2 linked regions of the Saccharomyces cerevisiae S288C genome follow. Changing the gene in region 1 together with any one later gene gives a genetic interaction. Each region holds a gene or a part of one and is shown on either strand. Other genes may lie near its edges. The genes, in order: SAP1 and YKL033W-A.

Region 1 (5,441 bases):
AATCCAAAAAATTTCGTATTTGAGAAGTAAGACAGTGAATCGAAGTGGTTCTCCTATGGATTGTTTTAGACCCTGGGAACGTCACTGCGGTGTTTTCGCCCGTCATACCAAGATGGGGCGGAGAACGGAAAATTTGATGGCGAATGTACACTGCCAAGGACAAACAGGGACGATAAAGTGTTAAAGTGGTGATATAGTCGGATCCGCGGTTAGCCGTAACCATTGCTTTCCAATGGTTTACGCCTGTAAAAAGAGCAACTTAGATAATTGTCGGCTTCACGTAATTAAGACGTATTAACTCAAAGGAAAAGAAAAGAGGGAATATGGTAAAGGAGACGGAGTATTATGATATTTTGGGCATCAAGCCTGAGGCCACGCCCACTGAAATCAAAAAGGCCTATCGTAGAAAGGCTATGGAAACACATCCGGACAAGCATCCTGATGACCCAGATGCTCAAGCAAAGTTTCAAGCCGTAGGCGAGGCCTACCAAGTCTTAAGTGATCCAGGGCTTCGTTCCAAGTATGACCAGTTTGGTAAGGAGGATGCTGTTCCTCAGCAAGGATTTGAAGATGCTTCTGAATACTTTACAGCAATATTCGGTGGTGATGGCTTCAAAGATTGGATTGGAGAATTTTCTTTGTTCAAAGAGCTAAACGAGGCAACAGAAATGTTTGGAAAGGAAGATGAGGAGGGTACAGCAGCCACTGAAACCGAAAAAGCAGATGAGAGCACTGATGGTGGAATGGTTAAGCATGACACTAATAAAGCTGAATCTTTGAAAAAAGATAAATTATCGAAGGAGCAAAGAGAGAAGCTAATGGAAATGGAGAAAAAAAGACGGGAAGATATGATGAAACAAGTCGACGAGTTGGCAGAAAAACTGAACGAAAAAATCTCTAGGTACTTAATTGCTGTGAAGTCCAATAACTTGGAGGAATTTACGCGAAAACTAGATCAAGAAATCGAGGATTTGAAATTAGAAAGTTTTGGTCTAGAGTTATTGTATTTATTGGCCAGGGTTTACAAGACAAAAGCGAATAATTTTATCATGTCCAAGAAGACTTACGGAATTTCTAAAATATTCACTGGTACACGCGACAATGCTAGATCTGTTAAATCAGCATACAATTTATTGTCTACAGGCTTAGAAGCTCAAAAAGCCATGGAAAAAATGAGTGAAGTCAATACTGACGAACTAGACCAATATGAACGTGCCAAATTTGAGTCCACAATGGCTGGTAAGGCACTTGGTGTCATGTGGGCTATGTCGAAATTTGAACTGGAAAGAAAACTAAAAGACGTTTGCAATAAGATTCTAAACGATAAAAAGGTCCCTTCCAAGGAACGTATTGCAAAGGCAAAAGCAATGCTGTTTATTGCCCACAAGTTTGCCAGTGCTAGAAGGTCACCAGAAGAAGCTGAAGAAGCTAGAGTTTTTGAAGAGCTAATCCTAGGTGAGCAGGAGAAGGAACACAAAAAACATACTGTGGCCAGATAAGCTCAGCAAGTTAATAACGCCTCATGTATATTTTTCATATATAGCGCAATCAATTACAAAGCGAAGAAAAAAAACCCTATGTATTCTAGACATATCACAGGCATACGGGTTTTCTCACACCAACCTTTCAAGTCTTCAGCACTTATGTTTTAACTTATTTTCTATTATTCAGTATATATATGGAATTAACACTGGCAACCCAAGCATCTTAGCCGAGATTCGCGGAGAAAATTGAAATCAAGAATAATAAAAATTCTTGATTCACGGTCATAAGAGGCTGAAGCAACAGCAACCGGCTCCCCAAGAACTACAATACGCGTCCGATATACTTTCTTATCAAATATATTGGTAATAATAAAGGCTGCAGTTCTTTTTTTAATATAGTCTTTTTACATTTATTGCAGCTAACAAACGCAATTTTTCTTTCCCTTTCACTCGTGCGGTTTTACCAGGATTGATTATATCGCACTGTGACACTATGGATTCACAAAGAAGCCATCATATTTTAACGAGATTAACCAAGATACGGAGAAGACCTCAACAACCGTTAACCGACTTTACAGAACTTTACAGTAGAATTGCCAATGAGACAATATATTACTTGAACCTAGAAGAGAAAAAACGATATAAAGAAGCATTGCAAGGATGGAAAGCGCTTACCACTGATGTACTATTCAAACAGACATTGATAGAGCATAACTACCCAAATACTCAATCATACACGAAAGATGAAGTTAGTTTACAGAACGGTATTCGAGAATTGTACCACAAGAGCGTTATGCATTTGAAAAGAGTCAAAAAATTGGTCCGAGAAGAGCCTGCTCCCAGGAATGATATGCCGTCATCCAAAACATACACTAATCATAGCTCATCTTTCACAAGGTCTACTGAACCACCTCCTGTATTCCAAATGGTTCCCGGAAGAATGATGAAAACATTAAGAAATAGAAATGCATGCGGCTATAAAACCGCATACTCCAACCCCTCACTATCATCATATGGTAACAGCACATCGATAAAACGCGGAGAAGATGCGGAGAACATTAGAGTAAATTTTGTACCTTCTAAGCCTTTATCCAACAATGCAAGCAGACAGCACAAGAACCCTATTGAGCACAATGATCCTCCACTTAAGAAGGAAACTGAACTGTACTCAGATAAATATATCTCAGAGCCAATATTGATAGATTTGACTAATGACGAGGATGATCACGATGTCGGCATTTTAAAAGGACACAACGTTTTTGATGAAGAAGAAAGTGATGGTTTCGAGTTTGATGTGTCCGATTACTATGATAATTTCTCCGAAGTCGACGTAGAAGAAGAAGAAGAAGAAAAAGAGGAAAGACGACGTATAAAAACGTTAGAAGCAATTCAACAGCAAATGTCTGACTTGTCTGTTACTTCTTCTACGTCCAGTAATAAGAGTGTAAGTTCTTCAGAAAATGTTCCCGGATCATGCATACAGTCCCTGCCGACTACCGCCCCTGCTCTTCCTTCATTACCTCCACCTCCTTTATTAAATGTCGATAGAGCGTCCAGCACTGGCGCTCTAAAGCCACATAGTTTAGAAACTTCTACTACTATGGATTCATCAAAGATTAGGAATCCTCAAATATCAAAATTAATGAAGAATAATCACGTACCATACTTAAAGGGTACCAAATCAACGCCCACTCTTATCACTAAATCAACGCCAACATTTATTACAAGATCAAAAAGTAATACAAAACCAATCATCAAATCCAATGCATCGTCTCCGACCTCTTCTCTGACTGTTCCAAATTCAGTAATTCAAAAACCCAAAACGGCTGCAATGGCTGCTAAGAGAGTTCTGAACAGCAAAAAGGTTGCGAGTAACCCCGCATTAAACACTACGAAGAAGAGTCACCCCATTTTGAAATCCAAAACGGCGAAAGTCCCAAATTCCAGTTCGAAGAAAACGAGTAGCCATCCTTCCAGACCTGTAAGTAACTCAAAACCATACTCGCATGGTGCATCCCAGAATAAGAAGCCATCGAAAAATCAAACCACGTCTATGAGTAAAACGAATCGAAAAATACCAGCACAAAAAAAAATCGGTTCTCCAAAAATAGAAGATGTTGGAACAGAAGATGCCACTGAACATGCCACTTCCCTAAATGAGCAAAGAGAAGAGCCTGAAATAGACAAGAAAGTCCTGAGGGAGATTTTAGAAGATGAAATTATTGATAGTTTACAAGGTGTAGATAGGCAAGCTGCAAAGCAAATTTTTGCCGAAATCGTAGTGCACGGAGATGAAGTTCATTGGGATGATATTGCTGGTTTAGAAAGTGCAAAATATTCTTTGAAGGAAGCAGTTGTCTATCCGTTTTTGAGACCAGACTTATTCAGGGGGTTACGTGAACCAGTCAGGGGGATGCTCTTATTTGGACCACCAGGTACAGGTAAAACAATGCTAGCGAGAGCTGTAGCTACAGAGTCGCACTCCACCTTTTTCTCTATTAGTGCTTCCAGTTTGACATCTAAATACTTGGGTGAAAGTGAAAAATTAGTGAGGGCACTATTTGCAATTGCCAAAAAATTGTCACCTTCTATAATATTTGTTGATGAAATTGACTCTATCATGGGTAGTAGGAATAACGAAAATGAAAATGAGTCAAGCCGAAGGATAAAGAATGAATTTCTTGTTCAGTGGTCATCCTTGTCCAGCGCAGCGGCTGGTTCAAACAAAAGTAACACTAACAATTCTGACACCAATGGCGACGAAGATGATACAAGGGTACTGGTACTTGCCGCGACAAACTTACCATGGTCTATTGATGAGGCTGCAAGGAGAAGATTTGTGAGAAGACAATATATCCCATTACCAGAGGACCAGACCAGACACGTTCAATTTAAGAAGCTTCTTTCCCATCAAAAGCACACGTTAACCGAATCAGATTTTGATGAACTGGTAAAGATTACTGAGGGCTATTCAGGAAGTGATATAACGTCTTTAGCGAAGGATGCTGCCATGGGCCCACTACGAGATCTGGGTGATAAGTTATTAGAAACAGAGAGGGAGATGATAAGACCCATAGGCCTTGTGGATTTTAAGAACAGTTTAGTGTATATCAAGCCCTCTGTATCCCAGGACGGATTAGTGAAGTACGAAAAGTGGGCTTCACAATTCGGATCATCAGGTTCATGATGATGATAATAATAATAATAATATAATAATAATGGTAATAATAAATAATATTCTAGCCTAGCTGGACAAACTGTGTGCACATAAGCGGATCGATAAAATATGTTCTGCATAATGTCACCTTTTCTTTTTTTTTTTTTTTTTTTTCTTTTTTTTGACTACTTAGTTTGTTAAACAATTTAATATTAGCGTAAACTATTACTAATCTAATCCATGACTGGTCGTAGGTAGTCTTACCCAGACCCTTCTTCTCACCAAGCCATTTTTCGATTTCCACCTAGAGTTATTGAAATTCCAGCTATAACACCATCCTTGATCGTCAATATCGTACTTTTCCTTGTAATCCATCAGTACGAACCACTTTGTCATCTGTGAACTGCTACTGCCTGCAGTGCGTTCAGTACTCAGATCGATAGGATACAGTTCTATGAAGTTCGATATAGTATTTTTCGACAGGGCAATTAACGAGCCATTTTCAGTGTTTAGTCTTTGAAATTGTGGTGGGTCAACGTGAGGCAGTAAAATCTTGGGAGAAAATAGTGGGTAACCAAGTAAAGTTATGCCTCTCTCGTTTTCTATGAGTACGTCCTCCGGTAAAGCAGAGAAATCCTTCAAGAAATGGTTTTTGCCCATATATCTCTATGTATGATTGTATTTTAACGATGAAAGAAACCTTGTTACGATTGCAAAGTCTTCAATTTCCTGGAAAATAGTAGCCTTTTGGTCCCACGAGCCCAATTACGTAGACAAGATTCAATCGCTTTGTTTAAGCG
Region 2 (3,260 bases), on another chromosome or scaffold:
GATGAAATATAATTAGTAGGACGTATTCTGTTTGAGACTCGCCGAGAGCTGGCTGTTTCAATAAACTCGCGATAGGAACAAAAACATAATCTGCAAATTTTGGCGAAAGTGAATCGTCTTCGTATGCTGATAACTTCTCTTCAACTTTTTTTAAACATGCCAATAGCGTTAATGAATTTGGATCAAATGATTCGGTGGGTAAAAAAGCGATCCTAGAAAGTTCAACACATGAAATTCTTATGTCCTTAAATGCATTCGTGTCTGAATTCATTTGCACAAAGCTTTTGAACACCAGCTATTGCAATCTTTCCTTTCGATGTGCATGTTCACTATAATATTTTATTGTAATGAGATTGAAATAAAACGATAAAAACCCAAACATGTACTATAGTATATTATACAAAAATAACTGAGCTCACCACATAAAGTAGTGTGATAAATCAAATACAAATCATCCCTTTTTATACTTAGTGCAATATACAAATATATTGTTTACGTAAATACTGGAAATTCACAGTCCATATTTGGACATTTCCAGTTTTTCCAAAGAAGACAATAGTTCACCTTTACCGGCTAACAAAGCTTCTGTGTCCCCCAAAACAGCATGTGCTTCTGGATGGGGGACCCAAATAACGTGTGCACCAAATGCCTTGGCTGATTTTACGCCTGGAATACCATCTTCGAACACTATACACTCATCGGGCTTAATATCGGTATGAAACTTCTCATTCAATTCCTTTAAACCCAACTGCCAAATGTCCGGGAAAGGCTTACCCCTACCTTTTGCAATTCTTGGATCATCACCAGTGACAATGGTATCGAAAAGATCAAAACCTTCCTCTAAATGACTTGTTTTGCCGCGAAATTTAGTCTTGTTCGAAGACGTACATAATGCAATAGGAATGTTCTTTAACTTTAAGTATTTCAACAAATTCAATGCACCGGGAAGAAATTCGCAAGTACCCCATTTAAGAGATTGCAATGCAACATTTCTTTCGTCGTACTCATCTAAAGTTATTGGTAATTTGTAGTGTTCGATCACCCTTTTTCCTGCTTCCGGTCCCGGAAGCCCTTGCAATTTAATCTTCACATCCCAAGTTAAAGGTCCCTTACCAAATTCTGCGAGAGTTTCATTTAAAGTTTCAGTATAAATATCCTCTGTGTTGATGAGAAGACCATCCATGTCAAATAGACATGCCTTCACTGCTACAGGATGTGTCATAATTTGTTAAAAAAAAGAAATTTACTTTTGCGTTCTTATTGTCAAAGAAACAAAAGCAGTGTAATTGGAAGGCAGTGACGGTCTTAAGATTCCCCAACTTGGAGTTGGAGCGATTTAGATTCACCTCAATGGATCTTGATCGGCAATATTTTCCCAATAATTAATTCCTCGAAAAATGTGTCATACGGAAAAAGGGTAACACTAAAAACCCTTGTGAATTATCCTAAGTCTAGTTTGCCTATTGTATATTTAAGCAAAACTACTTTAGTGGTAATAAAAAGTTAATGCACTATTCATGTAAAATTTCTTATTGCAATGGTTGACAAATAGGAAATGTCACGGTATCTTGGATCTTGAATACAAATACAGTATATAGTTCTTAGGATCAAGAGATGCTATCTACAACGGAGGTAATGGTGACCTACACACAGGACATTGTAACTTATAATTCATCCAGTTTTCTAGACACGAAGTATGAAATACGTGATTACAAGGCGTTACCATGTAAGAGTGCTGATCCACCTTATGAGTTTCTGGAATTTCCTCTATGTAAATTGGAACATCAGACATACATATCGCGCAATCAACGGTATGTTCAGCAGTTCCACCACCATGCTCCGATATATACTCGTTTGAAAGGGGCTTGAAATACGAATATCCATCAGGTATTGTGTGCTTAGGCAAGAACCAGCGCGATCCCAATACATCTTGAGAATACAGTATACTAATTTGAAACAGTAGCCACAATGATAAAAATACGACGAAATGAACATCTTTATGGTGCCTGAACACATTAGAGGAGTAAGTGAAAACATACACAACGGGCAAGCTTCTAATTATTGTTGTACCAATTACAAAACTCCACAATAATGGCATTTTGTTTTGACTTCTATTTCCTCCAATGCTAGATCTTGCTCTTTCTCTTCTTGAAGGAATACCTTTAACGGCGTTACGGAAAATTTGAGGGATCCAATATGAGTTTAATATGAAGATTAGGATATACTCAAATACCATCCTTAGCTGACGGGGCCATGAAGTTGAACTCAATATTAAAAACGTGAAAATGATTAGCATAAAGAAAAACCTACCATATAACGAGCCACCGATAGACCCTTCATCGGGAATGAATGCGGGTCTTGGCCTATTCTCATCATATGTGCCAGTGTTACCACGCAGGAGGTTGATAATCCCAACATTCTGTTCGTTAACCTGTGAAGCGTAAATTGAAATTAAGTAGCGTATTTCAAAAATAGATGCCAAGATAAAGCACGAAAAAGCACTTATAACTAGGGGTAAGTACAATTCGGGAACGACACTAGCTGCGACAAAGTACAAAGTGGCCAAGGAACCATCGACTAAGTTTATCATTGAGAAACAATAGAATGAGATTTTGTTGACCATGGAGGGGGTATTTGTATGATGCATCTGAGTAAGCAATAAGTATATCTGGGCTGCAAATAATGCAATACCGAACAATAGATGTTTTCTGATCGACATTATTTTTAATTCGTACCGTGTACCCTTTACGTTATGAAGCCCTAATCGTACGCCACAGTCTGGAGAATACAGTAATCCAGAGACAACATTTATGGGCGGTAAACTAGACAGATTTGCCGGACGCCCCAGGGGCCAATTCAATTCATCATCTATTAACTTGATCTGATCTCTTGTGTACTGATTCCATGGTTCCAACTGAAGAAAAATCAAATACTCACATTTAAAGTTGGCATTATTATAAGCATCCTGTACGTCTTTCATGGTCATGACATCTGTGTAATCCGTGAAATTCCAAAATTCATCAACGAGTTCCTTGACATCATTAAATATTTTCTCATTATAATCATTCTGGAAGGACATGTAATGAGGAAGGGCGAACAATGAATGAAATTTAGAACTCTGAGAAATAGAAAGAATTCTACCACGTTGAATGTCATATACAGCCTTCGAGTATATGGAATGCTTTTCCTTTTCAGCCTTATCTGAGAAATCAATCTGAAGATTTAACAACTTCCAACGGTCATTTTTCTTATTTATGAAA

What was found.
Region 2: mutations in SAP1 (region 1) and YKL033W-A together harm fitness more than expected from each alone (negative genetic interaction), as found in Saccharomyces cerevisiae (2 studies listed by BioGRID).

The regions. Positions count from the first base shown.
Region 1 is NC_001137.3:243,040-248,480, reverse strand, and holds SAP1 (putative AAA family ATPase SAP1), read left to right. Parts: upstream 1-1,977; coding exon 1,978-4,671; downstream 4,672-5,441. Other genes in the region: CAJ1 (Caj1p), read left to right, coding at 324-1,499; SPO73 (Spo73p), read right to left, coding at 4,870-5,301.
Region 2 is NC_001143.9:372,467-375,726, reverse strand, and holds YKL033W-A (haloacid dehalogenase superfamily protein), read right to left. Parts: upstream 1,223-3,260; coding exon 512-1,222; downstream 1-511. Other genes in the region: TTI1 (Tti1p), read right to left, coding at 1-271; ubiquitin-protein ligase TUL1, read right to left, coding at 1,622-3,260. UniProt on the Saccharomyces cerevisiae protein: Nucleotidase with XMP as the best in vitro substrate. Low catalytic efficiencies of YKL033W-A observed with XMP and other substrates suggest that these could be secondary activities for this protein, and its primary substrate is not yet identified.